Linked DNA regions of Mus musculus. The protein of the gene in region 1 interacts with the protein of each later gene in a pairwise test. Links are inferred from orthologs where the notes say so. Each region holds a gene or a part of one and is shown in the gene's direction. Other genes may lie near its edges. The genes, in order: Atxn1, Cirbp, Pim2, Sf1, Rbfox1, Otx2 and Supt20.

Evidence for each region.
Region 2: the proteins of Atxn1 (region 1) and Cirbp interact in binary tests that used the Homo sapiens proteins (3 or more experiments, as listed by UniProt). The link is inferred for Mus musculus from reciprocal best matches to the Homo sapiens genes ATXN1 and CIRBP.
Region 3: the proteins of Atxn1 (region 1) and Pim2 interact in binary tests that used the Homo sapiens proteins (3 or more experiments, as listed by UniProt). The link is inferred for Mus musculus from reciprocal best matches to the Homo sapiens genes ATXN1 and PIM2.
Region 4: the proteins of Atxn1 (region 1) and Sf1 interact in binary tests that used the Homo sapiens proteins (3 or more experiments, as listed by UniProt). The link is inferred for Mus musculus from reciprocal best matches to the Homo sapiens genes ATXN1 and SF1.
Region 5: the proteins of Atxn1 (region 1) and Rbfox1 interact in binary tests that used the Homo sapiens proteins (3 or more experiments, as listed by UniProt). The link is inferred for Mus musculus from reciprocal best matches to the Homo sapiens genes ATXN1 and RBFOX1.
Region 6: the proteins of Atxn1 (region 1) and Otx2 interact in binary tests that used the Homo sapiens proteins (3 or more experiments, as listed by UniProt). The link is inferred for Mus musculus from reciprocal best matches to the Homo sapiens genes ATXN1 and OTX2.
Region 7: the proteins of Atxn1 (region 1) and Supt20 interact in binary tests that used the Homo sapiens proteins (3 or more experiments, as listed by UniProt). The link is inferred for Mus musculus from reciprocal best matches to the Homo sapiens genes ATXN1 and SUPT20H.

What each region holds. Positions count from the first base shown.
Region 1 is NC_000079.6:45,962,125-45,966,420, reverse strand, and holds the start of Atxn1 (ataxin-1), read left to right. Parts: upstream 1-1,429; 5' UTR 1,430-1,606; intron 1,607-1,795; exon of another isoform or gene 1,796-1,816; intron 1,817-2,036; exon of another isoform or gene 2,037-2,847; intron 2,848-2,983; exon of another isoform or gene 2,984-3,092; intron 3,093-4,296. UniProt on the Homo sapiens protein: Chromatin-binding factor that repress Notch signaling in the absence of Notch intracellular domain by acting as a CBF1 corepressor. Binds to the HEY promoter and might assist, along with NCOR2, RBPJ-mediated repression. Binds RNA in vitro.
Region 2 is NC_000076.6:80,166,504-80,170,744, forward strand, and holds the start of Cirbp (cold-inducible RNA-binding protein), read left to right. Parts: upstream 1-1,335; 5' UTR 1,336-1,413; intron 1,414-1,667; exon of another isoform or gene 1,668-1,914; intron 1,915-3,225; exon of another isoform or gene 3,226-3,304; 5' UTR 3,305-3,310; coding exon 3,311-3,413; intron 3,414-3,512; coding exon 3,513-3,619; intron 3,620-3,698; coding exon 3,699-3,837; intron 3,838-3,921; coding exon 3,922-4,003; intron 4,004-4,190; coding exon 4,191-4,241. UniProt on the Homo sapiens protein: Cold-inducible mRNA binding protein that plays a protective role in the genotoxic stress response by stabilizing transcripts of genes involved in cell survival. Acts as a translational activator.
Region 3 is NC_000086.7:7,876,942-7,881,136, forward strand, and holds the start of Pim2 (serine/threonine-protein kinase pim-2), read left to right. Parts: upstream 1-1,364; 5' UTR 1,365-1,377; coding exon 1,378-1,615; intron 1,616-1,742; coding exon 1,743-1,852; intron 1,853-2,686; coding exon 2,687-2,737; intron 2,738-4,195. UniProt on the Homo sapiens protein: Proto-oncogene with serine/threonine kinase activity involved in cell survival and cell proliferation.
Region 4 is NC_000085.6:6,362,364-6,366,652, forward strand, and holds the start of Sf1 (splicing factor 1), read left to right. Parts: upstream 1-1,326; 5' UTR 1,327-1,724; coding exon 1,725-1,755; intron 1,756-2,156; exon of another isoform or gene 2,157-2,343; intron 2,344-3,300; coding exon 3,301-3,429; intron 3,430-4,289. UniProt on the Homo sapiens protein: Necessary for the ATP-dependent first step of spliceosome assembly. Binds to the intron branch point sequence (BPS) 5'-UACUAAC-3' of the pre-mRNA. May act as transcription repressor.
Region 5 is NC_000082.6:7,068,342-7,072,665, forward strand, and holds the start of Rbfox1 (RNA binding protein fox-1 homolog 1), read left to right. Parts: upstream 1-1,493; 5' UTR 1,494-1,657; coding exon 1,658-1,744; intron 1,745-4,324. UniProt on the Homo sapiens protein: RNA-binding protein that regulates alternative splicing events by binding to 5'-UGCAUGU-3' elements. Regulates alternative splicing of tissue-specific exons and of differentially spliced exons during erythropoiesis.
Region 6 is NC_000080.6:48,661,133-48,664,807, reverse strand, and holds part of Otx2 (homeobox protein OTX2), read left to right. Parts: intron 1-2,073; exon of another isoform or gene 2,074-2,148; 5' UTR 2,149-2,267; coding exon 2,268-2,364; intron 2,365-3,333; coding exon of another isoform or gene 3,334-3,357; coding exon 3,358-3,509; intron 3,510-3,675. UniProt on the Homo sapiens protein: Transcription factor probably involved in the development of the brain and the sense organs. Can bind to the bicoid/BCD target sequence (BTS): 5'-TCTAATCCC-3'.
Region 7 is NC_000069.6:54,693,716-54,697,942, forward strand, and holds the start of Supt20 (transcription factor SPT20 homolog), read left to right. Parts: upstream 1-1,407; 5' UTR 1,408-1,489; coding exon 1,490-1,492; intron 1,493-2,768; coding exon 2,769-2,804; intron 2,805-3,235; coding exon 3,236-3,294; intron 3,295-4,227. UniProt on the Homo sapiens protein: Required for MAP kinase p38 (MAPK11, MAPK12, MAPK13 and/or MAPK14) activation during gastrulation.

The sequences.
Region 1 (4,296 bases):
TCTCTTGGTGATTCTGTACGCTGCTTCAGACAGTGACTAATTGTTGGGTCATACGTAAACGGAGCCAAAAGGTCTCTCAAATCCGGCTTAGAGTCAATAAATAGTAGTGGCTTCCAGCGAGACCAAGGGATCGAGTTTCCAGACTCTCAGTTCTAAGCACCTGAAAGAGGTCAGATGCTGGCCTGACACCTACTGGTCTTCAAGAATTTTCTGCTGCAAAGAGAACGCGGCACTGAGCGACCCTCGTGGGGATGTGATGGCTCTTCTTTCGGGTGCCACACCTGTTGGCAAGGTGAACGCCTCCAGAGAAGAGTTCTTCCCTCGAGCTTACGCTTGGCTGAGGTGTAGCCGGAGGGGGCCGGGTGGGGAGTCCACGTCTGCGTTTAGCCACCGGGACAAGGTGGGTGGGGGAGCGTTCCTTCGCTTGGTTTCCCCGAGAACCACCATCGACTGACTGCTCAGTGCACAGGTTACCTCGCTTGCGATGAAATGAATGATCCACAGTTAGCCCTGAGGAGTGAGTGAGGTCGGTTACCAGGGCTAGCTAGAGCTGAGGCGTTCCATGCCCACAGCAGATTTCGAGACCAGCAGAATTTGAAAGGAGGACCGGGAGGTCGCCAGCTTGTCCAGGCAGGAAAGGTGAGGGTGCCAGTGCAAGCTGGGGAAGCCTGAGAACTTTCCCGAGTTGCAAGCCAAGGCAGCAGGCGCGGGCCTTGCCTCGGATGACGCAGGGCTGGCGGGTTGGAGGGTTAACAGTAAGGATACAATGAGTCCTCTTTAGATGCTCACCCGGGGGGCACCAAGGGCACTTCGTAATTAGAAATCAGCCGACTTCCCCGCCCCCTTGGGTATTTTACCAAGTAGGAGCCAAATCCTGACACCCGTCGCTGCGAGTCTCCCAGGTTGCCTGAGTTGCACCCTGCACTCACCCTGTCCCCCTCCAACTAGGTTGCAGGGAGCCGGGGAGGCGCGCGAGCACCGATCGGTCACCACTCCAATGACCTCATCGCCCCAACTTCCCCGCCCCTTTCTCAAACCTGGAAGGCACAGTCCCCTCCGGTCGGTGTCGGGGATCCGGAGCCACAGTTGCGGAGAGACAACCCGGCCTCCCCTGGAGCGAGCGCCGCTCCAGCCCGGGTGCATAGAAGGGTTAAGGGCGCGGGCCGGCAGCCGCGCCGTGCGCTCGCCGTGCTCTGTGCGGCTCGCCGGGCCGCCTGCCAGAGGGTGCCTCCCCCCCCCCTCCCCCCCCATGAAGTCGGATCCTTGAGCTGCGGCGGCGGCAGCCAACTGCTCCATATTTGGCTTCTATTACACATTTACATACTGGAGCGAGCGAGCGAGCGCGAGAGAGAGCGCGAGGGAGGGAGGGCGGGCGGAGGGAGGAGGGAGGGGAGGGGGGAGGAGGAGGAGGAGGAGGAGAGAGCAGAGTATACCGCAGACATCATTTCTACTACAGTGGAGGAGCCGTACAGGACCTGTTTCACTGCAGGGGGATCCAAAACAAGCCCTGTGGAGCCGCAGCTAGAGCTACAGCAGCCGCAGGACACTGTGTCTCTCCCTCTGTTACCCCTTCCCCACGCAACCCCAGATCCATTTACACTTTACAGTAAGTGGCTATTTTTTTTCCTCCTCTGATTCTTTCTCTCCCCCTCCCCCTTCCACCCCGATTTAGATTAAAATCACCCCCTCCCGCACCCCAATCTGCTCTCTCCGGAGAGGGGCCAAAGAACATCCAGCATACACCCCCCCTCCCCCAGTCTCAATGGGCTGCACGGAAAACAGCTGGAAGAGGAGCGAAGGAAACCGACGCGTCGTGGTGTGTGTGTGTGTGTGTGTGTGTGTGTGTGTGCAGGCGCGCGCGCGAGTGTATGTGTGACTGTGTGTACATACACTAGTGCCCGGCTCCAGCCTCCCGGCTCGGGACCCCCTCTGGGAGCAGGAGCGGCTAGCAAGGGCAGCAGATAGGGGCTGGGTGGGCGGCCGCCAGGAGAGGGGGCGCGCCCGGGCGGGGGGCGCGGGTGGGGAGAACGGCGGCGCCCCGTTTCGGCTGCTGCCGGTCCGGCGGCGGCGAGCGGATAGAGCCCGGTCCTCCTCCTTCCGTGTGGCGCAGGGGGAGGCGGCAGCCGCGGAGGGTCGCGCTGCCCTCTTCGCTCCTCTCCAGTCCCCCCTCCCGGGTGGGGGCGGTGAGCGCTGCGGGGGCTCGAGGGAGGGCTGGGCTTCCCCGCCCGGGGTCGCCTAGCTTGACAGAGGCAACCCCGAGCTTGGGGTCTCCCCGCCTAGGCCAGCCTCTCGGGGCTACGAGGGGACCAAGAGGGGACTTTGCGTGAGGCTAGGGGCGCGGAGAGGTGGCGCCTCAGGAGGCAAGGGCGCGCGGGCCATCGCAGCGCAGCGGGAGAAGACCGGCCCTAGCTGCAGCTGCCACCGCCGCCCTGTTGGTGCGGCCGCTTCCTGATCCAGAGCAGCAGCAGCAGACGCCGCCGCCACCGCCGGAGCTGGAGCCGGGAGCCCGCGAGCGCCCCAGCCCGGCCCGGCGACTCTGCCGGCGCCCGCAGCAGTAGCGGAGGAGCTGCGGGCGCTGCCCTGCGCCGGGACTGCTCTGCTGCGCGGCGGCAGAGAGGGTGAATGAAGACGGGAGGAGGGGAAGGAGGAGGTGGCGGCGGAGGAGGCGCTGCGGGGATTGGGATGTGCCCCGGAGCCCCGCGGCTCGTTCACTCGGGGCCCGAGTCGCCGCCACTGCCACTGCCAGGGCTGCCGCCGCCACCGCCGCCGCCTCCTACGTGGTTGCAGCCGAGCGCGCAGGCCGGTCCCGCAGGGGGCAGGGAAGGGGCCGGACGGGCGGAGCGAGAGGTGAGGCGGGGTCGGAGAGGAGGGAGTAAGTGCGTGTGAGTGTGTAGGTGCGTGTGTGCGTGTGTTCGCGCGCCGGGCGGGGACCAGGACCATCGCGATGGGGAGCGGGGAGTGGGGGTGGGGGTCCACGGTGGTCCCTTGGTTGACTCTGCAGCGCTTCGACCTCTCTTGAGCCGCCTCCTTCAACTCTGTGGCTTGTGCGCTTTCATTTTATTTCAGACCACGTAGAGAGCTGACTGCAAGAGGTGAAACAATTCAGGTTTTCTAGGGAGATTGAGCAAGGACCTTAGTGGTGGGGGGTGGAAGTAGGGTGCTGTATCTAGACTCTGCCAGGGGCGCGGGGGGTGGGGTGGGGGGAGGATCAGGGGTAAGAGGATGGGGTTTAGTTCGATCCCGTGGCTGTCCTGTTTTGTTTTGCTTTCTTGCTGTATAATCCTACAGATAAGAGGGCAATATAAATACTTGGGGAAGGTTGGGAAATTGCTGAAGAGTAGTAAGGGCGGAAAAAAAAAAAAAGAAGCCAGTCGGAAGCTGGTTATATAATGCGCTATGTGGCTAACAAGAAAGGCAAGCTATTTTTATTTTGTTTACCGTATGTTGTGCAGTAGGAACTCCTCCAAACTGGTTCTGTCCCCGAAGAGGTTTCTTAGTTTGTCAGAGAGAGAGCCACAGGATACAATTAGTAAAATTAGAAGACCCCACACCACCTACAGAATAAAAAGTAATGCTTTAGAGTTCTCACCTCACATTCTGCCTGGTATGCAGGGGAATGTGTGTATGCCCTATGTTTCCCTGTAGCAACCTAGTAGTGTCATCTCAGTGACATTTCTGTTTTATAATGCGAGCTCTTCTTAATATTTAAACAGCACTGCTATAGATCGTAGGCAACAAGGTAGTTACATGCTGGGTATTTTTAGGCGCAGCTGGTTACTTTTTTGCAATAGTGTTTGCTAAACCGTGTCCAGCTTTATGAAGAGCCCTGCCATTCCTAGAAGCCTGGGTTAAGCCTACCCTCTGGTTTACTGATGGTGGGTGGGTAGCTAAGACAGTTTGATAGCCGAGGGTTTTTATTTTTATTTTATTTTTGAATGAAGCTTATGCCAGGGGAAGCTAGAGGTAGCCACCAGAGAGAAGAAAAAACATGCGCAAGAACTCTTGGAAAGGGATTGCACCATAACAGCTTAGCTGTGGCATTTAATCTCCTCTGATTGTCCTCTAACTGGCCACGCATCAGTCAATATTTTAGCAGCTTTGCAAATAAATTGGCTTGAACGCCACCTTCCACATAAAGCTGAGGCTGAGAAGCCTCCTGCCTGTCTGCCTCTCTCATCATAGATACTGTCTGTGGTGTTAGTTTTCTGTACACTTACTCCAGCCCTGATCACTCATGTAATTAGATCAGGTTGCCATGGCTACAGACAGTGTTCCTTGGCCCATTCAGGTGGGTTT
Region 2 (4,241 bases), on another chromosome or scaffold:
AACCACAGTGGAGGGAGAAGAAAATGTAGCCTGGAGACATGGGTCTGTTATCACAGCTACTTGGGATGTGAGCCTACGGATTTCAAGGATAGATTGAAAAATGTAGGTTGTCTCAAAGGATCAAATGGCCTAGTGGTAAAGGGCTCTTGCAGAGGACGTGGGTTCAATTCTCAGAATCCACATAAAGGTTCACAGCTGTCTGGACCTCTGCATCCAAAGGATCCAGCACTCTCTTCTGGTCTTTGTCAGCGCAAGATAGGCAAGTGCTGCATAGACATTCAGGCAAACACCCATATACATAAAATTAAAATACACTTTTTTGTTTTGTTCTCTGTGGTGTGTGTGTTTAAGAAGGCTAAGGATGTAGCTTGGTTTAGCCACTACTTAGAATTCTGCAGTGAGGGGTTAGGGGTGTGGCTCAAGGATAGAAATCCTTCCATGGCATGCTTGAGACTCTGGGGTCTCTTCTAGAAAATGCAGGTACACATTGAAAAGAGTGGTGTTTTGCCATCTGTGTGGTAATGTACACCTGGTTGGAGATGGGCAGAAATCAGGGTTCAAATGGTCGTTATACAGCAGGTTGAGATTTGTAGGAAAACTGAGTTGGGTGCAGGAAATCTAGAGAAAATCTTGACATTGTGATTAATACTGGGATGGAAATTTTAGGGCTGATCTTATGGAGTGTCCTTGGGGTCCAAAGAACTGTTAGGCAGCAGTTGTATTGGGAGGTACTTTTGGACTAGAGTAATTCGGTGGTTTTGGTTTCATGAGCAAGAACGGAGAAGAGGGGCAAGCAAGATGACTCAGTGGATAAAGCTGCTTGTGGCTAATCCTGAGTATGATCCTTAGGACCTACATGATGGAAGGAGAGACTCCATCTGTCTTCTGGCTTCACAAATGCGCCTCAGTTAAATAACTGTAATTAAATATTAAAAGAAAAAAAAGAACATAAAAGTGTTGAGTCGATGAGTCAAGGTTGGAGCCATATTTGGGAGTCTCATTGAGGTAGCAAAAGCTCTTTGTTCCCCGCCGCAGGACAAACGGGTCGGGAACGCGGAAGTGGGTCAGCTCCGCCTCCAAATCAGCTGTCCCCGCCTCCTAGTCGCTAGCGGGCGGGGGGTGGGGGGGAAAAATGCGGCCAGGAAAGATTCCAGCCAATCAAAACACTCAGCGCCTCCGCGCGGACTAGGGCAAAGCCAACGGAGTCCCGCCCCTCCACCGAGGCGCAGATGCCGAATCTAAGGCGTCGGATTGGTCAGCGCGGCGTGGTGGGCGGGTTAAGGGGCGTGGCTCCAGGAGTGGAGTATATCAGGCGGGACTCTTGCGCTCCCCCTCGCACTCGCGCCTTAGGAAGCTTGGGTGTGTGTGGCGCGCTGTCTTCCCGCTCGCGTCAGGGACCTGCCCGACTCAGCGGTGAGGGCTCTGGCGGCACCGGCTCTGAGGGGCCCGGGGCGGCGGGCGGCCTGTGACTCTCGGGCGAGGCGGAGCCGCAGCGGCACGCCCCTGGGACTTGGGGGCGGGCCCGGGTTGGAGTCCGCCCCGCCGGCGGCGAGGCGGGCAGCGGGACACTGGGGCCTCACGCTTGTCGGAGGGCGTCCTCCACCGCGCGTCATCCCCGGGCCGAGGCCGACCTTAACGGTGGGCTTTTTTTTTTTTTTTTTTTTTTGTAAAATGGCCGCCGCGATGCTTTGAAAAGCTTCGCCGGCGAAATGGCGGGACTGCCGAGTGCCCGGATGGAATGGCGCAGGGTGCGCGCTTGGCGCATGCGCTGCTCCGGGGGCGGGGCGCTCCTACCTCCAAAGTCCGGTTGTCCGCAGATGTGGAGCTGTGTCGCGTGCGACCCTTTTACTCCAGCTGGCTCTACCTCGGTTTTCTCTTCCCTTGTGGTTCCACGTGGGGAACAAAAAAGCACATGTAGGCTTGAATGTTGTCCTTTTGTGCCCCAAGTTTATTGCCCCCAAGGTAGACTGGTTTCGTGGTATAGTGGACTTATTTTCCAAGTTGTCGGTTGCCAATAATGACTTTGTCTAGATACCACGCCCCTTTCGCTAGCCACGCCTCTTGGGCCAACCTCCTTTCTCCCTTGAGTCCATCGTGCAAAAACATTTCTCTAGTCCTTGGCTGAGTAAGCGAGGCATCCCACAACTGGCACACCTCCAGACAGTACCCTAAAAGCGTATTTCAGTAGTGAAGTTTCTCTGGCCCAACAACTCTATGCTAGTGAGGGTAGGCAGTCACTATCATTTCTGTCCCCAACCACACACATTTGCAAAGTGACCATGCCATTTTGATCCTAACCTTGGGATTCTCTGGCCAGGTGTAATCAAGACCTAGAATCATTTAAGGTTAGCCTCAGCTGTATGACAAAGTATTCCATATGCCTTTGGGATGATAAAAGCAAAAAGAGTTCCCTCTTGTGTAGCCCAGAAGGGTATTGAACTTGCTGTGCAATTGTATTTGGTTTTGGATTCTGTTCCTTTGCCTCCAACTCCCACAGGCTAGGCGAGATGGGTATTTGTTTTGAAACAGTCTCTCAAACTGATCCACAGTGTCCTTTTTCTCATTGATCTTCCCATCTCGGTGACTTGAATGGCTGGATGAGAGGTGTGAAAGAAACCCCACTTGAAGCTGAGGTTTCCCAGTAAGACCATGGGGTCCTCTCCCCCCACCCCCATGCTTCCCCCCTAGCCCCCCCCCCCCAGTTTCTTTGTGTACTCCTGGTTATCCTGGACTCTCTTTGCAGACCAGGCTGGCCTCAAAACTCACAGAAATCTGCCTGCCTCTGTCTCCCAAGTGTTGGGATCAAAGGCATATACCACCATGTCCAGCTGTGGGTTACTTTTATTTATATACATACATACATACATACATACATACATACATACATACATACATATGTAGGTAAGGGATGGGAAGAGGCAGCTTTAACTCCTTAAAGCTTTCAGTGACTTATCCTTACAGGTGTTCCAAGGCCATCCTGGACTATAAAAGGAGACACTGTCTCAATTTTTTAAAGGCAAAGAATGTGGGGGGCTGAAGAGTTGGCTCAGGGGTTGAGAGCACTGCCTGCCTGCCAGAAGACCCAGGTTCAATTCCCAACACCCACATGGCACCTCATAACTAACTCCCAAGATCTGACAGCATCAGAGACATATATGGAGACAAAACACCAGTGCACATAAAATATGTTACTCTTTTTTTTTTTTTTTTTTTTTTTTTGAAAAGCATATTCTTAAATATGCTATTTGGCTTCAGTTTCTGGAAGGGGTGGTGGTTAAGGCAAACATCTATGGTGTGTGCATAGGCTGCCATGGCATCAGATGAAGGCAAGCTTTTCGTGGGAGGACTCAGCTTCGACACCAACGAGCAGGCGCTGGAGCAGGTCTTCTCCAAGTATGGGCAGATCTCCGAAGGTGAGTCTTGGGTCAGGATCATTGTTCTCGGCTTCTACTTGGGGGTGGGGGTGGGGGGCAGAGGGCTGACTGGGCACATCTAATGTCTCTCTCCTGCAGTGGTGGTGGTAAAGGACAGGGAGACCCAGCGATCCCGAGGCTTTGGGTTTGTCACCTTTGAAAATATCGATGACGCTAAGGACGCCATGATGGCTATGAATGGGAAGGTGAGGATCAGGTCAGCCAATTTACCTTGGATAGGTCTGGTGTGGAATCGGGTACAGTGACCCTAACTTTCTCCTGCAGTCTGTGGACGGGCGGCAGATCAGAGTTGACCAGGCTGGCAAGTCTTCTGACAACCGGTCCCGAGGATACCGGGGTGGCTCTGCTGGAGGCCGGGGCTTTTTCCGTGGGGGACGAAGCCGGGGCCGAGGGTTCTCCAGAGGTGAGTGCTGGGGTGCCTTGGCAGCTGGTGGTGGCACTGCAGCAGGAGTAGGGACTCCCTGACTCTGTTCTCGATCATCTACAGGAGGAGGAGACCGGGGCTATGGAGGTGGCCGCTTTGAGTCCCGGAGTGGGGGTTATGGAGGCTCCAGAGACTACTATGCCAGGTGAGCCAGATGGGAGCCTTGGGGAGGCTCAGCCTCGGTGGTGGCAGCTGGGCCTGGGAGGAGGGTGCACCAGGGGAAGGGCAGACTAGTGTAGGTGGTTTGGTTTTGTTCTCTACTGAGAACCAACTCTTGCCAACTATACCTGGTACGGGGCTGAGCCTGGGTGTCCATGTGTGTCCTTCCACAGCCGGAGTCAGGGTGGCAGCTATGGTTATCGGAGCTCGGGAGGGTCCTACAG
Region 3 (4,195 bases), on another chromosome or scaffold:
GTCTCTCAGTGACAGTACATCTGTAGTTTGTCTGGATACTTTCAGTGATAAGCTGCGTGTCTGATAGTGTGTGATTGGGTCCGGCTTTTGTTGATTTGCTTATCTATGTGGTGATTTAGAGCCCAAGGATGACTACGTACCTGCTTTGGAGCAGTGCGTGTATGTGTGGAACAACTGTATATTCTTGTGACAGACTCTGGGTCTCTCATTTCTGGGGCAGCACAAATATTTCTGTGAATGTACATATCTGGTGGTGCTTGTGTGCTTGTGACAAATCTGTCAATTTCTGGTGGGGGCATATGGTATTAAGTGACCCCCGTAGGACAGTACAAGTCATATCACTGAATGTTTCTTTTCGGAACACATTTTCATGTACACCTAGGTTAGGACAAGTCTACTTGAATGTGTCTGACTATATCTTTAATGGTGGTTCTCCCGTTCTTGGTGTACGTGTGGGTATGTGAGTTCCACACACGATTGGAGGTCAGAAAGCAACTTATAGAAGTCATTTCTCCCTTTTCACCATGTGAGTCCTGAGGTCAGCAGCCTTACCTGAAGACCTTTTGCTTTTAAGACAGTCTCACTATGTTGCCCAGTCTGACCTCGCTTTCAGTTCCCAGCTCCTTTTTTACAAGGAAGTTGTAGTTCCCACAAGAACTAAGTCCTGCCATTATAGATTCAAGACCCAGACTGAGTAACAGAGCCAAGTCTAGCCAGGTTTGTATAGGATAATGGCAGCAAAAAAGCACCCTACAGGTGCCAAACTGCCATTGTTTCCTCTGCATCCCTTCCTTTTGATGACGGTAAAGAATTTTACCCTTCCCTGAAGAGTGGACCAGCTCTCCTATAAGATTACAGTTTTGGAGCAAAGGCTGCCTGATCTTGGGTGAAACACACGTGACAGGATCCTGTCTAGTTCCAGGCTCTGATTTTTAAAAGCTGGTTTGTCGTTGTCTCCTTACTGAACTCAAGGCAGCAAAGGTGATGGCGGCAGCAAACCTGCATCCTAGGAAAGGAGGCTGCGCTTTTTAAAAGTGTGTACACACCCCACCACACCAACAACCAAAACAAACGCAGTTGTCGCAAAGGAATTCCCAGAAGCGTGCATGTCTGTGTGTCCGTCTGTCTATGTGTGTGCGCGCACGCGCGCGCACCCTCCTACATTTGCATACAGGCCCTTCCTCCGCGGAAGAACCTGGCATGTATTTTGCATAAGGGGCACTTGAAACGTTGAGGGTGGCATGCAAATAAGGACTGGCTCGGATTGGCTGGGGTACAGCAGGTGCCGCGTCCGGATTGATCAAAGCCAGGTGGGCGGGTCTGTCGCGCAGGGCGACTCTCCCGGGAGGCGCGTGCCCCGGCTCAGTAGCGTTGGGGCTGGCGCGCGCGACGAATCTTAACGCTGCGCCGTCTGCAGGCGCTTCCGGGCCGCCAGATTCCCTGCCTTCCACCCTGGCGCCCCCCAGCCCTGGCTCTCCGGCCGCTCTGCCCCGGGCATCCACGCCCTGCGGGCTCAGCGGATTCAGCGGGCTCAATATACGCAGCACCTCCTCCATGTTGACCAAGCCTCTGCAGGGGCATCCTTCGCCCCCTGTGACCCCCACGCAGCCTCCAGGTGAGCGTAGCCTCCTCTGTCACAAGCAGGTTGGGTGGACTGGAATGATGGGTGCTGGTGTGGGGGCGAGTCATGGCTGGGATCAGAGTACACCGCCACCCTGACTTCCTCGCCTCCGCTTGCGTAGGAGGCAAGGATCGGGCAGCTTTCGAGGCCGAATACCGACTTGGCCCCCTCCTGGGTAAGGGAGGCTTTGGCACCGTCTTCGCGGGACACCGCGTCACGGATAGACGTCAGGTATCCCCTACAAGGGGTTCTCGGAGGGTCAGGTGTTTTGGCGAAGGGTGGTGGTGGGGTACCAGTGACTGGGATGCCAGTTGCTTCAGTGGGGAGCCTGCGTCTGCAAATGTGTAGTAGAATCATAAGGAGCAGGGTTGCTAGGAGTGTGAGTGCGCGCGTGTGTCTGCAGTCCAGGTGGGTATGGGGGTGGGCAGGATTCAGGGCAAGAATTCTAGAAGATTGGCGCTTTCTACTAGGGAGGGGGCAGATATCAGGACTGGACCCCAAGATCCATGGAATTGATGTGCGTGCGCTTGTGTGTCTGAGATGGTGGGGATGTTTTAAAAGTAGGTGTTAAGTGTGGAGTCGTGAGAACAACAATCCAGATAGAGTTGTCCTGGAGATGAGGATGATGGAGGAGGGCATGCGACGTCAAAAAAAAAAAAAAAAACAAACAAAACAAAACAAAAAGACTTGGAATTCGAATCTGGGGATATGGGTCAGTGGTAGATTATTTGTCCACCATTCACAAGCACTGAGTTCAATAACCAACATCGTGGCGGGGGGAGGGGGGAGGCATGTAGAAAGACAGTGCGAGAGAAAAAGCAAAAGGAAAAAAAAAAACTACAACTCACTCCCGTTCTGGATTTCAGGGGGTCTTGATGCTTTCTTAACGAGAGCCCAGGCGTAAATATGTTTAGGTGAACTTGCTTCTGAGGACTTAAATGCTGGGTGGGCATCTGAGCTCCGATGGATGTGATATGTATGGGAACTAGGAATACCCGGGTGGAGAGACTGGAATTGGGAAGTCTGGGATCACCTGCTGCCCCCTTATCTCAGCCTTTTTTCTAGGTGGCCATCAAAGTAATCTCCCGGAACCGTGTGCTAGGCTGGTCCACCGTGGTGAGTGTCTTTGGTGTACGTCATGACCCATAGACTCCATCACAGAACGCACGCACTGCTTTTTTTCTAGGGGACATATGACTCCCTGGGCCCTGAAACCATGAGAACCCCACCAGCCTGTGATTCCTGCCTTCATGTGATAGTTCTGATTTCACCACAATTCCCCCAGAGCCCTGGATTCTCCTTTCAAACTCTCCTTTCTCATCCTTCTTCCAAACACTGCTTTTGGGGCTGTTCACAGGACATGCTGGTGGGGAAGGAGGGGCCTAGGTCACTGGTTGTCATGGTGATGCTGGCTGCTTCTCTTCTGCCACCCGGAGAACGCTAACGGACATCAGGGCGGGTCTGGGCAAATTGTAGGTAAGAGAGCTCCCCCTGGTGAACCCTTTAGGTAGTCTGTGCCGGCCCGTGGACTTGGGGGGGGGGTTTGGGGGTGAGCCTGCGCAGTAGCCGATTTTGCGTCTTCGTGAGAAAACCTGTCTGCGGCTGTGCAAGTTACTGGGTCTGTAAAGGACCCCATCTGAGGCAACTGGACTCTTGGCAGTCGCTGCCCGTTCGGGTCTGGGGCAGGGGCCTTTGACTTGTGCTGGTTGATAAGCAAGACTGACAAGACAGCATTCATTAAATGTTTACTCTGTGCCAGGTCCTTTGCAATTAATCAGTGTAAGTCGTTTTGGACAAATGAAAGCTGGGATTGGTGGTGCGCACCTGTGATCCCAACGTTCAAGAGGCTGGGTCTCTAGGATTTCAGTGAATTTGAGGCTGGCTTGGGTGGGCTACTTGGCAAAATTCTGTCTCAAACATGAGATAGAAATTTAAAAACCAGAGGACACTTCTGCCGTGGTTTAATTTATAGGCACTTTGCAAAATACGACATCATTTCTTAGAATGCATTATATGCTACATCCCTTCTACTGACTGCTCTTTCTGTCTTAACATCCTGAGTTTTGCTGTTACTAAGGATCCTTGAGGTATGCTAGTGAAGAAAACTAACCAACACTTATACAATAATAGTATTTATTAATAGTATTAATTTAATAGGATTTAGTTCCATGCTAGTCCCTCTTTGCTGTAAAGTACTTCCATTTACAAATACTTATTGAGTATCTAGTGTGCATAAAAGCTGTCCTGATGTGGATCTTGATGAACATCTTGTTTACCTATCTTAGGTAAAATTATGAAGAGGGACTTATATTATAAAACACTTTGAAGTCCAGGCATGGTGGGGCACACTTTCATCCTCTGGGGGTAGAGTCAGGTGAATCTCTTATTCCAGTCCAGCCTGGTCTATGTAGGGATCCTGTCTCAAACTCCCTCCCCTTCAAAACAGATGAGAACACTTCAATTTCTCCAAGTATTTACTGACCTACTGCATGCCAGACGTGTATGGTCTCTGTTCGTTTCACTCTCTGAAGGACTTGAACCTTTAAAGAGGGTACTAGGGTCTAGGAAGAGGAG
Region 4 (4,289 bases), on another chromosome or scaffold:
AGGTTCTACCACTCAATTGTATTTTCTGCCCAGACATTTGCTCTTTCTCTGTTCTATGGCCATTTCCTCCCTACCTGTCATAGTCTGTTGACTTGTACCATCCACCATACTTGAGTTTCTTATCTTTGTAGTCTCTTTATTCCTAGATTACTCCAAACCTTCTGTTGTCTACATGTCTACTTTTCTACATCATTTTAAAAGATTACTTAGTCTTATGTATATGGGTGTTTTGTCTGCATATAAGTCTGTGCACCATATATATGCAGTGCCTGTGAGGCCAGAAGAGGGTTCTGATATCCTGGGACTGAAGTTACGGATGGTTGTGAGTCACCATTTAGGTTCTAGGAATCCAACCTGGGACTCTGGAAGAGTAGCCAGTGCCTGGTCTTATCTGCTATTTCTCTAGCCACTCTAATTACATATTAAACACTGTTTCCCCTACTGGGTCTAAATAACCTCTCTGTGAGAACCCTATCTATCCCCAGTTCTATTATGTTGTGCTAACCTGTTTCATTACTCTCATGTTTATTTCATGGGAAGGAATGTTTGGCCTCAGTCTCATTTACAAGTTCCCTACCATTTTTATGGGTAATTTTAAGGTACCCGAAACAAATTTCCAACGCATTGAGATTTCCCTGGAAGTGCACACTTTTAGACTAACTTTTGAAATGACTTTCTCTCCCCTCTCCAAGAAGGACTTGGAGCGCCTGACTTTTCCTTTACAAGAGTTAGTATGTGCCATTGAACCTGGATTTTTTGAGACAGATATACTGTACCCCAGGTTAGCCCCAAACTCATGTCAGCTCTCCTGTCTCAGCCTTTCAAGTTCTCGGGTGACAGGCTACTTGGCTACCTTGTACCGGAATGAAATAAAGTCTTTAAATACACCCACCAACTACCCTAGTTTTGAGCCATTTCGTAACACTATTTTTCAGAGAAAACAGGAAGTCTTTCTCTACTCTACCTGCAGCTTCGACGTATCCTGTTCGTCAGCTCGAGCCCGCCCCTTCGCCGCGGTCCCTAGTTACCTCTAGCACAATGACTAACGTCACTTAAGGCCTCCGTTCCGCCCCTCTGGGGAAGGGGGCGGGGACACGCGTGCCCTCCCTACGCATGCGCACCCCTGCTCTCCGCCTTGGTTCCGGCTTCTCCTCCCGGCTTTCTCCATTCTCGAGCGGCTGGCTCCTGGGGGAGGGGAATCGTTTCAGCCAATCGTGTGGCACTACGACGCCGAGGCGCTTACCTCCATCGGTTTCAGCCAATGAGCTAGCCGTTCTCTCACGTCACAGACTTTGCCCCCTCCTATTCCCCTGCCACTCTGGCCTCAGTCCGCGCAGTAACAAGGAGTGCGCGCTGCGACACCTCCCAGTTCCCCCGGCCCCGCCGCCATTTCGTCGCCGGGCCTAACGGTTCGGCCAATCCCGACCCATATTGAAAAGAGCCAGTGCTCCACCAATCGGAGGCCGCTGCCTCCGACCTCACCTCGGGCCGGCCCAATCCAGGCCGCGGCCCCTCCGCCCCGAGCCCGCCCCCGCGGCGTCCTTTCTCCTCCCTCTTTGTGCGTCTGGCGCCGCCGCCGCCCGCCGCGTGAGAGGACGGGCTCCCCGCGCTCTTCAGCCGCGTAGTCGGGTCCCCTCCCCCCCACCTCCAGCTCCCGGAAGGTTCGTGAAGGAGAAGTCGCCGCGGAGGACGAGGAACCGCTGCTGCCGGTCCCCTGGGGCGCCATGGCGACCGGAGCGAACGCCACGCCGCTGGGTAAGCTGGGCCTACCAGGCCTTTCCCCACTTCCTGGGCCCAGAGGCAGCTTCAAGCCCAGCCTATTGGCGCTCGGGACGCCGCTGCCGGGGGCCCTAACCACGGCCTTGTCCTTAGCGGCGGTGCCGTCACCGCCGCCGCCCCCGGCCTCGTACCCGCCATAGCAGCCGCCCCCGCGCCGCCGCCGCTCTTTTCAGCGAGGGTCGCCTCCGCGCCAGGACCAGCAGCCGGGCCAGCCCGGTGGCGGCGGAGGTGAGTCGGGCCGATAGAGCGCGAGAGTCGTCGGGCGAACCGAACCGGCCGACGGAGGGGCAACGCCACCGCGGTTGGACGCGGCGAGGACGCGCGCGCGCGCACGGGAGGCCCGGGCGGACGCGCCACGGGGAACGCGCGGCCTGGTTTGGGAGGCTTCGATTGCGCACGCGCACCGCGAGAACCAGAAGGGCGGGAGGAAGCGTTCTTCGCGCAGACGCAGTGAGGCGTTCAGGCTTTGTGGCGCAATTGTGGTAGTTTTGGAAGAAGCCACCTGTTGCCCCCTGAGCTCCTGCTATGGAGGACAGGAGAGTCAGGTCCACGGGACGACGTGGTGTGAGTGGCTCCCTTGATGGTTTTTAGCAGCCCCGTGGCAGGAGTGTCTCCTTTCACAGTGAGGCGAGTTCGGAAGGCTACTAGGGATGCTTGAGTTCGATCATTTATTAAAGGTTTTCTCCTTTTGTTTTCTAGAAGGTTCTCAGAGTGACCAGCTTTCCCCGTGCTGTTTTAAAAGGCTTTTTCTCTGGGCCTGTAATCTGAGAAGTAGAAAACCTTGTGTGGTAAATGTAGGGAAGAATGTAATAAATCAGAGTTCTGATGACAAGTGTCCACTGGTCAGGAAAACTGATCTTTCCACGAGTAAGAATGGTCATATTGAAGGATGGCATGTTTCCCACAGTAATGTGTAGCAAGAGATTTGTTGTGTACTCTTGTAGCTTGAGTTCCAATGCTTTGTGGGCCTCATTCCAGTTTCCTCTTTTCTGCCCTTTAAGGCATTCAGAATTGATAATATGTATCTGTACACTTCTGATTCTGGGTTTCTGTGCATTAAGTCTTGGAAGCAAGGGCATGATGGTTCATGCTTTTAATCCTAGCACTCTGGAGGCAGAGGAAGGTGGGGCTTTGAGTTTGATGCCAGTCTACATAGTTTAAGACTGCCAGGGTTCTCTAAAGGGACTTCTGTCTCAAAAAACAAACAAAAGATCCAAAGAGTTGGAGATATGCATCAGTGGTAGAGCTCTTACCCAATATATGCAAAAACTCTGATGTTAACACTACAAAAGAAATGTGTTCCTTGTTACATTCTCTAGTATTTTCGTTTTAAAAGAACTAAATGTGAACTGTTCCTTAACTTTCCTGACAGGAGGATCTTTAAAATGGCTGCTTGTTTTCTCTGACCTCTGAGATTTCTTTCTTTTTAAAAATTTAGGTGATTTCAGTTTAGTTTTAATTATCATGAACTGCTTGCCTTCTGGTTCATATTTCTGCCTGATGGGCTCTGTCTGTCTTTAGACTTCCCAAGTAAGAAGAGGAAGAGGAGCCGATGGAACCAAGACACAATGGAGCAGAAGACAGTGATTCCAGGCATGCCTACAGTTATACCCCCTGGACTGACTCGGGAACAGGAAAGAGCTTACATAGGTAAATACACGTTCTACATCCAGGTGCATCTTCAGATTGTTACTGCAGATTGTTCTGAGTGATGAACCTGTTGAAAGTCTTAAGATTTTAGTCATGGGAACAAGGTGTGATGAGCTATGCTTTCATAGCTGTGTAATCCGTGATTTGCTTGGCCAGTCCTGCATTTGCAGCTTCTTGTTTGGGCCTGCTCTTAGCTCGGCAGCCCCCTTCTCAGCTGCTGTTCTTGCTCATTGGTGAGGTGAATGCTATCTTCCTCTCTGGACAGGCCCCAGTGGAGAACACTGCAGGTATTGTAAACCAGTTGCTTTTTTGTAGCATGGCCTTTCACCATAATGTCATGGTTCCCTTTCCCTAAAATTGTGGTTTCGTTTTTTTATAGGTACAAAATAGTTTAAGCAAAAAGTGGCTCGGAAAGCATTTATAGTTTACCCATTTTGTTGAATTTAATCCTTCCCTTCAGTATCCTTTCTTGTTCCATCTTTAGAGAGCTGTCTTAAAACAGGCTCTTGTAATTTACCACTAAAGGACTCTGCTGGGAAGGGTTTACTGTTTGATTTGAAATGAAGTGGTGGCAGAATTTAAAAAATTAGGTTACTGTCCACAGTAGAATTAAACCTCAAAATTACTTAAAATCCAAGGTCATAATAAATGGAAGTTTTATATCTGTCCTGCTGTCTCAAAAAGTGCACTTGATAAACATTTTCAACTAACCAAGTAAACATCCTCTTTGGGGCAGAAACCTCGTTGGGTCCATTGAGCTGTGTCCTTCTCAGACAGCTTCAAGGCTAAGGTGCTCTGAGTCTGGAGGTCTTCATTTCCTGGTTCTTAGATTGCTGAGGATTTTGAGGCGTGGAATTGTC
Region 5 (4,324 bases), on another chromosome or scaffold:
AACAGCCCAGCCACCATGATTCCACGCCATGGAATCCCATTGGAACTGAGCTTTCCAAGGAAAGCGGCTCCAGTTCCTGCTTTGCATTCTTCTCAATGCCTTTCATTTCGGGGGAAGGGGGAGTGGGGTGTCACCTTTGTTTAGTATATTGCAAATTCATGTATCACAGCTGGAAGATACACATACCAGCTATATAAAATCCCTTCACAGATGAAACACAGCACCAGCAAGTCTGCACCTACTCTGTGGCACATTTCTAGATCACATCTCACAGTGCAATGCCAGCTAGACAACTTACCTAGTGATTGTGTGTGTGTGGGGGGGCGGTTTAAACTCAACACTGCTTCCTACTAGCTGCAAAGTGGCTGCCTAGTGTGAGTCTGGATTCCTGTTGGGTACCACTTTGCTTCCTGGGTCTGGGAATTAGCCCCTGCATCCGAGATGTGGAAGAATGGAGCTCAATAACCCACAAAGCTAATTTACTCAGATTTCAGCTATTATTTTGTTACTCATGAATTGCCTTTTCAAACTGAAATTGGGTGAAGAAGGGGTGGAAAGTGAGCCCACTGTTTTGAGACAGTTTCATGTAGCTCAGGCTGGCCTTAAGTTTGCTATACAGCTGAGCTCCCAATTTTTCTATACCAACTTTCTGAGTTCTAGGATTATAGAGGCTATCCACCACATACTGAGTATTCTTAGATAATTTTTGATCAGCTACCCACATGAACCTGCTAGATTTGAGTGTTGTTGTTATGGTTGTTGTTGTTCTTATTTGTTTGGTTGTTTTTGGTTTTGTTCATAACTGTGGCGGAATGGGTATAGGTGTGAAAATGTATGTGCTGTGTTCAAAGGGTGACCTCCAGGTATCTTTCTTTATTGCTTTTTACTTACGCTTTGAGAGAGGGTCTTCCACTAAACCACTGTACATGGAAGTTTCTGTTTGGCTATGCTGGCTCGACAGTTGAGACCCTGCATTCTCCTGTCTCTGTTTTCCCAGTGCTAGGAATGTGTGACACATTGCCTGATTTCTTACATAGGCACTGGAGATCCAAATTCCAGTCCTCAGGCTTATATGGTAGTATACAAACTCACATAACAACCAGTTGCAATTTAGAACTGAAGTCTAGGCTCTGGTGATGATTTTTATGTGGGTAAATGTTTAAGTTCTTTAAGTTGCAACTGATTGTCATGTAAGCTTACACATTTCTATTACTTATTCTCTCTAAAAATCTCATGCAGACCCAGCCCCTTGCAATTTGGCCCAGTTCCTCAGGACAAATGCCTTCTCTTTTCGCCTGATTCCCTGTCACTCCATCTCCCTTGGTCTGAGAACTAAATTAATGAAGAGTATTTGGTTAGTCATGTTGGGCGAGCTGCTCCCAAAATAGCTCCTTCCATTTTGGTAGCTCCGACCGACCCTGCAGCTGCCGCGTCCCTTCCTTGTCTGGGAAGAAAACTTTCACATTAAGAGTTGCTGATGCAGGGTTTTGTTTCCTTTCCCTCTCCGCTGCCTGTGGATGAGCACTTGGCTCCTGACAGAAGTGATTTGGCTCTCGGCTTTGTAGTTGAGAAGAAGTTGGGTCTATAGATTTCTTTCCCCCTCTAACTCTCTATTGATGTGTTCAGCCTTGGAGGGAATAAAGCCTCCATTTAAAGCATGTTGGCGTCGCAAGGAGTCCTTCTGCATTCTTATGGCGTGCCCATGATTGTGCCTGCTGCCCCCTACTTCCCGGGACTGATGCAGGTAATTCATGGCTTTTGCCAGCAAGCAACTTAACTCCAGAATGCTCTAAGTAATAATTGGAATTTTTATGGTTGAGAAAGCAAACACTTTTAATACAGGAAGAGAAAAAAAAGCCCTCGTGTAGTCAAAGGAAAGACAGTAGGAAATCAAAAAGATGGATCACCTTAATCTGGCTATTGACATCTCTCATGGATGAATAAATGGTGTAGTTGAGCTGTATTTGCTTGTATTGATCTGGGTGCTGTTTAACATTCATGCCTTTGCTTCGGGAGGTTGACCAGGGGGCAAAAGATTTGCTCTCTTCCCTAGCTTTCTGAGGGACTGGGTCTCCCAGAGCAGATCATGAGGCTCAGTAACTTATCATGATATGGCTTGCTTAAAGGCTTTAACCCCGGAAACAGAAGGGCAGGAAATACAGAGTGCTGCTGAGGACACCCCACACAGGTTGTTGTTTGCAGAGAAGCTTCCCCTTGCAAATCTGAGAGGCGACCCACAAACAAGAGGGTACACTGAGAATGGTCTCGCTAGGAAGTTCAGAGGTTATTCTGCAAATTCGATGCCAACTGTTTGTATTCTCGGCAGCTGGGGAGAAGTTAGGATGCCTGTTGTTTTGACTGCTAAGGCTATTATTCTGTGTACCGAGAGGTTTGTGTGCTAGCGAGAAATTGGACCTGTTTCTTTGCCTTATTGTACCTCCTTGCTGTCACTCAAACCCACTGCTTCTGGGTGTACGCCTGCAGTTCTCTGGGAAGCCAACATCCACTTGTGATAGAAGTGGGTCATTGTAGGAAGCAAGTGGCTATTTGTTGCTGTTCTTTAGAAATAAGCAACCCTAAGTAATAAATCCTAAATCTCCTTTCTATGGGAAAGGAAAATTAAATATATGCAGTACAACACTTTAGCTTTTTTTCCTGTAGCCCCACTCCCACCCAGCCCTCTCTGAGAGTTCTACAAAACTCTAATTCATTAATGACGACTTCTGTGGAGGATTGAACAAATATTCTTTTTATTCTTTGACTGTGACTGTGACTGTGACCTTCTATTAACTGTCAGAAGCTGGGTGGCAGAATGCACCCAGACGTCAATCCCGATAGCATCAGAACTGCCAATTACCCTAGATGTATGGATACTATTGCTACACTTCTATGTTATAGGTAAATAGACCAGCAGAGAATGGCCCTGGCACCAAGGAAGGGAACTTGTGGCCAGATGGTGACATGAAACTTAGGACTTGAAGGTGAAGCAGAGTAACAGTGCTTTTGGCTTCTGTTGGAAATTTGGGGTGAAGGTCAAAGGCTGGAGTTTTGTCGGCCCCTGTGCTGCCCTATCCGATAAATAATTACAAGCAAATCGCTCATTTCAGTCCGTGCTGATTGATGCTGAAATTGCTTTTGAAAGTTCTCATAAGTTCCTGTTATAGATTAAGTGCTGGTGCAGGAGAATAACGGCACCCACAGAAATGGGTGAATGTAATCAGGTTTAATGGACTCGAGAGCTTGTTGGGAATTAAATAACTATCGATTTGCTGGGATGTTTCTGTCATTACAAAATGCCACTCTGAACGTATTACCCCAATGATAGATGAGAAGACGCTAGAACCAACTGCAAAGCTGGGAAGGCACTATTTCTTCCTCTTTGGCAAAATGTTCAAGAAACATAACTGGTTAGTGTGGAATGGAGCAAGTTATTTTACTTGCAAATGTTAACCTGATCCATTCTCATTTGTTTCCCAAAAGGAAACTTCTGAACTAGTGACCTACAAGTCCTTCTGTGTGTGTCAGTGAGGAGCCTCCGATGAGCTACTGGGACCCACTGCACCCTTCCCCTCTCCTCCACACAGAGCACACTGCAAGGCTGTGCACATGAAGGTGCTAGCCTTCTTGCTGCTTTGTGGAGGCTCAAAGAAACTAAACCCCCTCCCATTGCAGTTTTGTTCTTAAGGAAAGGATGTGGTATGATAGAATAGGTAGGAAATTCTAGTGCCTCTTTACCTTTCAGCTTGCACTTCCTGCCCTAGCTACCTTGGCCCTTAGCTTGAGGAGTTTCACCCCGAGTCAGGAATAAAGGCCCTTTTGCCAGGATTCAGATTTCTTTAGCAACTTAGTGATTCCAGCAAGACAAGAAAATGAAGAGGACTATGGACTCATCTTTGCTAGGATCCCTTGTGCCTGCATAGTTGGGAACAGCATGAATGGTTATGTGCAAGGGCCACTGGCGAGCTGCTTGAGATGCTGTTCACAATTTCACAGTCTTTCTAAACTCAACAGCCAACAGTTCTGTGGCCAAAGATGTTCCTTTTTGAATTGCTGCCTGAGACACTTTTGAAATTCAGGCCAGTGTGGCTTAATTTTTCTGCAGTTAAAGAAAAAATAATTTGCATTTTTTTTAAGTTTTAAGAGAGTACCTGACTCATGCTACAGTCAGTACCTACAGATGTGTCCTTACGTGTCTAGTGAGGTCCCTCTCATGGCCTCTTCTTTAAAGTCAGTCCCATAGTTAACATGGGATTTCCATTCCTACTTTCTGTTTCTCTGGAAAACCAGTGTCACTATATCGTATCCAGGGCACCCTTTATTTTAT
Region 6 (3,675 bases), on another chromosome or scaffold:
ATCTATCCGTGTTTATTATCTAAGCTCGCTGTGGAGAAGTGACCGTGGTTTGGGTTTTGGTTTTCCTGTTTTGTTTTTGTTTTGTTTTATTCCGCCCACATCTCCAGGAGGAAAAGTGAAAATAGTTTTCCCTGACAATTTGAGCCGTTTTGACTCTCCAAGAAGGACCTCGCCCCGAACTTTCTGTTACTGCTTTTTATCCTGGAACATGCCGCTTTTATCAAATGATCTGTTTAGGCGATCTAATTGGGTGAGAGCTAGACTAGTAAATAAATACATGCCCATCTTAACATCATATATAACAGGTCAGAACTGTCCAAGGGAATAAGAGTGTATTTTCAAAGAATTCCTCTTTAGAGGGTATTTAAATAAGGAACGACTGGGTTTTTAAAGAATCTTACGTTCACAGTTACAAATAGCTAGATCTTGGAAGAAGGAACACAGAATATAAAGTGTTCTTCGCAAAAGTAACTAGTTTCACTCGTTAACAATCCAGTTCTCTTAGAAGGACATTTATAAAAATCACATTTTAGGGTGGGGAAATAAGACTTGTGTTCTGAATGTAAATCTGGAAGAAATCACAGCTGTTGAGTTTTGTTTGTGAAGCTTTGCCTTTGTCTCTTAAGCAAGGTAAATATGAAAACCTAAGGTCTTAATTTTTTCATTAATGAACTTTATGAAGTGACAGAGAACTCAGTCTTGTATCCGCCATTTTGAGGAAGTTTCTCAGAGTGTCAAAGTTTCAAAGCAGAGAGAGAGAGAGAGAGAGAGAGAGAGAGAGAGAGAGAGAGAGAGAGAGAGAGAGAGCGCTTTAAGTGCCTTATTTTTGGAAAATAAAAGCCAGCCTTACACACATTGCCTGCCTGTATTAACATCGATGGGGGGAGGGGTTCAGCAAAGGAACACAGATGACTTTTCTTTTTCTCCCCCCACCCAGCTCCTTTTCTTACAAAATTGTAGGAAATTTAAAAAGCAGAGAGAAGTGCGGTTAGTTCCATTGCTTTGGATGTTTATTGACTTCAAACCTAAATATATGGGAAAGGTGGCTCCCGTTGCAGCCCCCTCTCCCCCCAACCCAAAATCCAAGAAAAAGTGTTTCCCGCTGGATCTGTAGCCTCCTGACATAAAAAACATGGAAGCGGCTTGCTGTAGGAATGCACCCCTCTGGACTTGCAAAATGTGGGGGCAGCAGTTTATCTGACTTTACTTCAGTTAGGATTCTAACTTAAGCATTTCTGTCAAGCCCTGTGCTAGTCTTGAAGAAAAGACTTTTTTTTTTCCCTCTCAGTATGTTTAAATTAAATATTTGATGGGTGTCGCTTAAAAGTTAAATAGTTGTTTGTTTAGCTATAGTTCTTTAGACACATGTAATCAAACTCCTCCAAAACCCTAATAAATCTGTTACTTACTTCGAAATCTAATTATCCAGACTACTAATTAGGTGAAAATGATTACTGGAAATGACTTCAAATGTGGGATAATAGTGATTGGGCAGTTTTCACAAGTTTGTTGTTCAGCAAGTTGGTGTTTTAAATGTTGAATGCGTTTACATTTTAGGTTCACAGCAGTTGAAAGTGGTAATAATTTAAAAAAAAATCAGCTAAGATAATTAAAATCTCTGCCAGGGAAAGGCAACAGTCTGGGAAGAGGTAGATTTCTTGAATTGTTTCTTTGTTTCTCACCAATGGGCTTTGTTATCAGCATTATTTATTTAGCCAAAGAGTTCTTTGTCTCTGCAAATGGCCCCAATCAAGTTTTGTTTGAGACAATTAGCTAGTGCCAGCCAATGAGTCCTATGCAAATGTTGGGTTAGGAATGTAGAGCGTGCATTTGGAGGCGTGGGGTTTTGTTCTTGGGGAAGGCAGATTGTAATTGCTTTCCTCGGGTCGGTTTTCTTTCTTTCTTTTTTTAAGTTTAGGGTGGGGGTGGGGAAGACAGGTTTATCTGGTCTCACTCCATCCCCTCTAGTTTTGGAGCTGCTGGGGGGTGGGGGGGACGGCGGGGGTGGGGGACGCATCTGCAACTCCTTTAAAAGCCTGTGCCCAGCGTCTCCCGGGTTCTTTTTAGTTAGTGCTGGAACGTGGAGGAAGCTGCTCCCTCCGAAGCAGTAAACCAGCATTTCTGTTTGTTTGTTTGCTTTGCCCTTAGTTCCGTCACTCCAAATCTACCCACCAAGGACCCTGACCCTGTCCACTCCAGGCGAATCGAGACCGTCCGGCTGGGTCCCCCCAATTTGGGCCGACTTTGCGCCTCCAAACAACCTTAGCATGATGTCTTATCTAAAGCAACCGCCTTACGCAGTCAATGGGCTGAGTCTGACCACTTCGGGTATGGACTTGCTGCATCCCTCCGTGGGCTACCCCGGTAAGTGAGTCCGCGGCCTTCTAGACGCCCTTCCACACGCCCGCCCCTCTGGAGCTCCGAGGTTGGAGGGCGCGCTGTCCTCACTCAAGCTCAAGGCGGGGTTCCCGATGTATTTTCCTTGCTACCAAACTGCCGAGTGCCACAGAGCATTTACTGACCCAAGAGGGAACAAGAGGCTGGGAAGAGGCGAATCTGGGGTCTGCAGAAGTAACAGAGAATCACACCGCTCCATTCTTAACTCGAGTGGCTTGGCGACATTCATTGGGCTAGGTCGTGGAAGGTTGTTGACCTTGTCACTTGAGCACGCTCTTGCGTACGTTTCCACGTCCAATTCCTAGCTATTACTTCCCTGGGAGCAACCGAATTCTCTCCCCTACTGTCCCTTCCAGTTTTCCCTGGCCAGGGGCTTCCAGGGGTTTCCGGTACGTCGATGCCCTGTCCCTTTAATCCTTAGAGGTGTGGCTTCCCTCCAGGTGCCAGACAATTTTCTTTTCTAGTCAGATTCCTCCCTCCCCCCAACCAAAAACTCATAAAAGTATGAACTATGTCCCATTTTAAAGATAAAAGAACAAACGTCCCTGTGGTGTTAAAATACCGTGGGAACTGGCTCGGCGTTCGCTGCGTCATTCTGAACCTTTGGTCCTCATAGAGCCTTTAACTTTACTAGTCAGCCTTTTCTGGTGATGTGTGTGATCTAGAGGTTGTTATTTGCTTGTTCGTTTCCAGAACTGGGCGTGGGGATGGGAATTGTGGCTCCTTGTTTTATTTTGTTAGTTCCTCAAGTAATTTGTAGCTGGCGTCGGGGGGGGGGGGGTTGGAGGGGACCGCATTACACTGGGAGGTCGTGTGTCCTGTGAGGCTCTGGAAGGGGTGGGGATACTGGGTAACGCGGTGAGAGGAGGGAGGTCGGGGAGTCTGAGGACCGAGGCAAAAGTCCTGTGACTGAGAAACTGCTCCCCCACCCTAAAGGGCCCTGGGCTTCTTGTCCTGCAGCCACCCCCCGGAAACAGCGAAGGGAGAGGACGACATTTACTAGGGCACAGCTCGACGTTCTGGAAGCTCTGTTTGCCAAGACCCGGTACCCAGACATCTTCATGAGGGAAGAGGTGGCACTGAAAATCAACTTGCCAGAATCCAGGGTGCAGGTAGGGCAGATGTAGACACTTTTCAATCTTGGTTTATACTGATGACCCAATGAGGCCTTGTCCCAGACCAAAGAAGGGCTTGAAATTCTAAACCCTCAGGAGCCAGGGGACTTTTTACTTCCCTTTCTCTTCCTGTTCCTCCTTAATCATATGAACCAGGGTCTTT
Region 7 (4,227 bases), on another chromosome or scaffold:
TAGTATCCCTTCTAATTTAGTAAAAAGTAACTGTAATTTGAGTTACCACATTGGATTTGTGAGTCTTGTTATTTAGGTTTAGTGGTCAAAAAAAATCACCTAAATTTTGCTTATACTTCCTCTAGTAACTCAAAGACAGGAATAATATTCTTAAAAAGATACGTTTTTTTTTGGGGGGGGGGTCTGGGGGACTTTTGGGATAGCATTTGAAATGTAAATGAAGAAAATACCTAATTAAAAAAATAAATTTAAAAAAGTTTAAAAAAAAGATGTTTTTGGCTTGGCTTTTAAAAACTAGTACTGGACTGGAGAGATGGCTCAGTGATTAAGAGCACTGACTACTCTTCCAGACATCCTGAGTTCAAATCCCAGCAACCACATGGTGGCTCACAACCACCCATAATGAGATCTGATGCCCTCTTCTGGTGTGTCTGAAGACAGCTACAGTATACTTATATATAATAAATAAATAAATAAATAAAATCTTTTAAAAAAACCTACAGCTACAGTGTACTTATAATAAATAAATAATAAGTAAATAAATAAAATCTTTTTAAAAAACCTAATACTATCAGATAATATTTCTTTAGCCTGTACTGGCTTAAGGAGGTCCTTCCCTCCGAAAAAGTTTTGTATAGGAAATCTGGTTTTCTGTCACTAGAATTTGTACTTTAACAGAGTTGTGTAGTTTCTGTGGCAGTAAGTGCAAATTGATAGGTGAAAAATTGTAAAACAACTTAGTGTCTTCAGAGCAGAGGGTATCATCTTTGGTAGGCAGGAAGGGTTAGAACAGTGGGCTTCCACGGTGGTGTTTCCTTATTTCTGGGTCCCCCACTCTACTCTAGACTTTGACCAGAATCCAGATACTGGGACATGGGCATCCATCCTAAAGCTGGGTAGGTCACTTGGTTTGTAAGGCAGGATGAGACCCCCTGCATTATGGGAAAGATTTTTCAAAGATGTTTCTCCTTTTTTTAAGTAAAAGTATTAGAGAAGTCTGGAAATGTAGCCTGGGGCACTTGGGGGAATAGGAGTTTTCTGGTTTTGCCATCAGTGTGATTAAAAACTGAATTTGAAAGTGACCCCACATAGCTGTCAAAGCCAGTGGTCAGGTTGTAGAATCTGCAGGGAAGGCAGTTTAAAAGTGTTGTTGTAAAAGCCAGTGTTTTCTCAGTGTTGTATTACTTTGGCCTGTGTGAGGTAGTGGTTTGAATTCTCTGACTTTTTTGCCCTACTCCATGAGAGCTGTTTTTCATCTGTTTGTAGGTGGGTTTAATACATTCTCTGGTAGAAGTTTGTTTTAAAGATATGTTAGGAACGTATGTGCCTTGAGTACTTTTCCTGATAATGACAGTCTTTCTTTTTTGCAGTCTTATGCTAACAGTTCCTATTTGTTTTTTCCTGCAGTATAGAAGAAGACATGGTTTCCACCCCACTTCCACAGCACGTCTAAGTTTTATCTTTTTTGGGGTCCTTATCTGTTGCCACAATGGTAAGCTGTGAATATAGCGTGTTAAAATGTGTATCCTATACTATTCTCTTCCTTTAGCTCCATAAAAATATTGTGAATAGAAAGACTCAGATAACTTAGTAGTCATGCCTAACTTTTTTCTAGAAAATGTCTAACTCATATCTTGTCAATTCAGTGGTAGGACATTTAAGTTAGACAAATCCTTCATGTATTAAAAGTCAACTCTGCTTTGCCATTTTTCTGAGTCTTTGATAAGGAGGTTGATATAAATGAAGCTTATTTTGGGGGAGGCCCTCATAATTTAAGTTTCTTCTTCCATCTTTTTTGTCTATGTTTGTTCTGTGCATGTGGCCTATATGTTTGGTAAAGAAGTGATCGCAATGTCGATGTTCCTCCTTTATCCCTGTCCCCCTTTTATTTTGAGACAGTCCATTAGGCCTAGAACTTGCTGAGTAGGCCAGGCTGGCCCCTGAGGTATACGTCCCCCTTATTGGGATCCCTGCTTGTGCCCCACTGTCTTGCTTTCTTGTACAGATTCTGGAGTTTGAACTCAGTTATTCATGATTGTGTGGCAGTCACGTGGACTGAACTATTTCCCCAAACTCCTTCACCTGGGTGCTTTAAAATTAATAAATGTAGGCAGGTTTAGTTTGACACAGATGTAATTCCAGTACTTGGGACACTCAGGTCAAAGGATCCCCAAGAGTTGAAGGCCAGCTTAGGCTAGAAAGAGAGCTCCAGCCAGCATAGGCTACAGAGTTTCTAAACCCTGCCTCTTCTTCCCCCATCCCCCATCCCATCCTCACTTTTGTGCAGATATACCTGCAGTGGAGCCCAGAGGACAAGCTGTTACTACAGTTGAGAGGCAGGTGGGGTGGGGTGGGGTGGGGTTAGAGACAGGCTGTAGAGGACGTGTGTCGTCATCTTCCTGCTCTGTAGGACTTGCCTATTTACTTCTACTTGGTTAGAAATAATGGGAGTTGTCCCTGTGGGATTCTTGCCTTTCATGTATACGTATTAAATGGTATACCTAAGTGCTTGAAGGGAGTAGTGAACACTCAATACGAGCATGTCTAGCTTCCAGGTCCTGACTGCAGTGCCATTTTAGCATTTGTTATGATCAAGTGCCCAGCCATTAAAAAAAAAAAAAACCTTAGTAACGCATTGGAGGATAGAGGAGAGGAAAAACACATTGCTCTTTTTTCAGAAAATGAAACAAACACTTAATAACGAGTGTCAAGTGTTATTTTTTCTGAAAATAATTAATATTGCCAAATCTGCTATTTGCTTTTTCCAGCAACAAGCTGTAGAACAAGCTTTGGATTGCGCAGAGGTGAGCCCTACTGATTAAATGTTGAAATACTGGGGTTTGTAACTGACAGAAAGTCCTTAATAGGACATTTTGATAACCCTCAAGAGAACAGTATTTTAAACCAGACCACAGAATTTGTAAAGTTGTTTTTCTATCTTGATGAGTTTCTCTAAAATACCTTAAAATATGGGTCACTGCACTCAAATGTGTAATTTTAAAATAAATTTAAAACTTTTAGAATATATTTGTCCTGTGGAATTGCATTTTATGGTACTAAAACACTGGGCTGGGTCTTGGGCTCTATGGCCTGTGTACAAGCGTGAGCTCAGGCTTGTCAGAGCCTAGGAGACTGAGTGGGCTGCTCTCACTGTCCTGCTGCGGGCTTGCAGCTCGCTTGCACTCACTCGTAGGAAAGCGGAAGGCAAGCCCTTTGACCAACTTCTCTGTTTCAGTACATCGTGGAAAGTGCTCAGCAGAGACCTCCTAAAAGGAAATACCTGTCTAGTGGAAGGTATGACTGCTTAATCGGTAACGCCCAAGTCAGTGAAATAGGATAACTACCACTTACTGTAGACATTGAAATGTTGTCAGTTCTTTGTATGGGCAGGTTGAGCATCCTTGATACTCCACAATATGCAGCTTAGGAATCTTGATGGAGTGTCACAAATGGGCATTTTCTTTTCTTTTTAAAAAATTTTTTAATTTTTCATTTATTTCTTACACTCCATATTCCATTCCCCACCCCCTCCATCCACCCTCCGACTGGACTGCTCTACATCCCACACCTCCTCCCCACCCCATGCCTTCTCCACATGGATGCCCCCACCCCCTACCCTACCTGACCTCTAAACTTCCTGGGGCCTCCAGTCCCTTGAGGGTTAGGTGCATCATCTGAATGAACACAGACCTGGAAGTCCTCTACTGTGTATGTGTTGGGGGCCTCATATCAGCTGGTGTGTGCTGCCTGTTTGGTGGTCCAGTGTTTGAAAGATCTCGGGGGTCCAGATTAATTGAGACTGTTGGTTCTCCTTCAAGATCGCCCTTCTCCTCATCTTGTTTCAGCCTTCCCTAATTCAACAACGGGGGTCAGCTGCTTCTGTCCATTGGTTGGGTGCAAATATCTGTATCTGACTCTTTCAGCTGCTTGTTGGGTGTTTCAGAGGATAGATCCCTTTTTGTGAGCACTCCATAGCCTTAGTAATAGTGTCAGGCCTTGAGCTGGATCCCACTTTGGGCTTGTTGCTGGACCTTCTTTTCCTCAGGCTCCTCTCCATTTCCATCCCTGTAATTCTTTCAGACAGGAACAATTATGGGTCAGAGATGTAACTGTGGGATGGCAACCCCATCCCTCTCTTGATGTCCTGTCTTCCTGCTGGAGGTGGGCTTTATAAGTTTCCTCTCCTTACTATTGGGCATTTCATCTAAGGTCCCTCCCTTTGAGTCC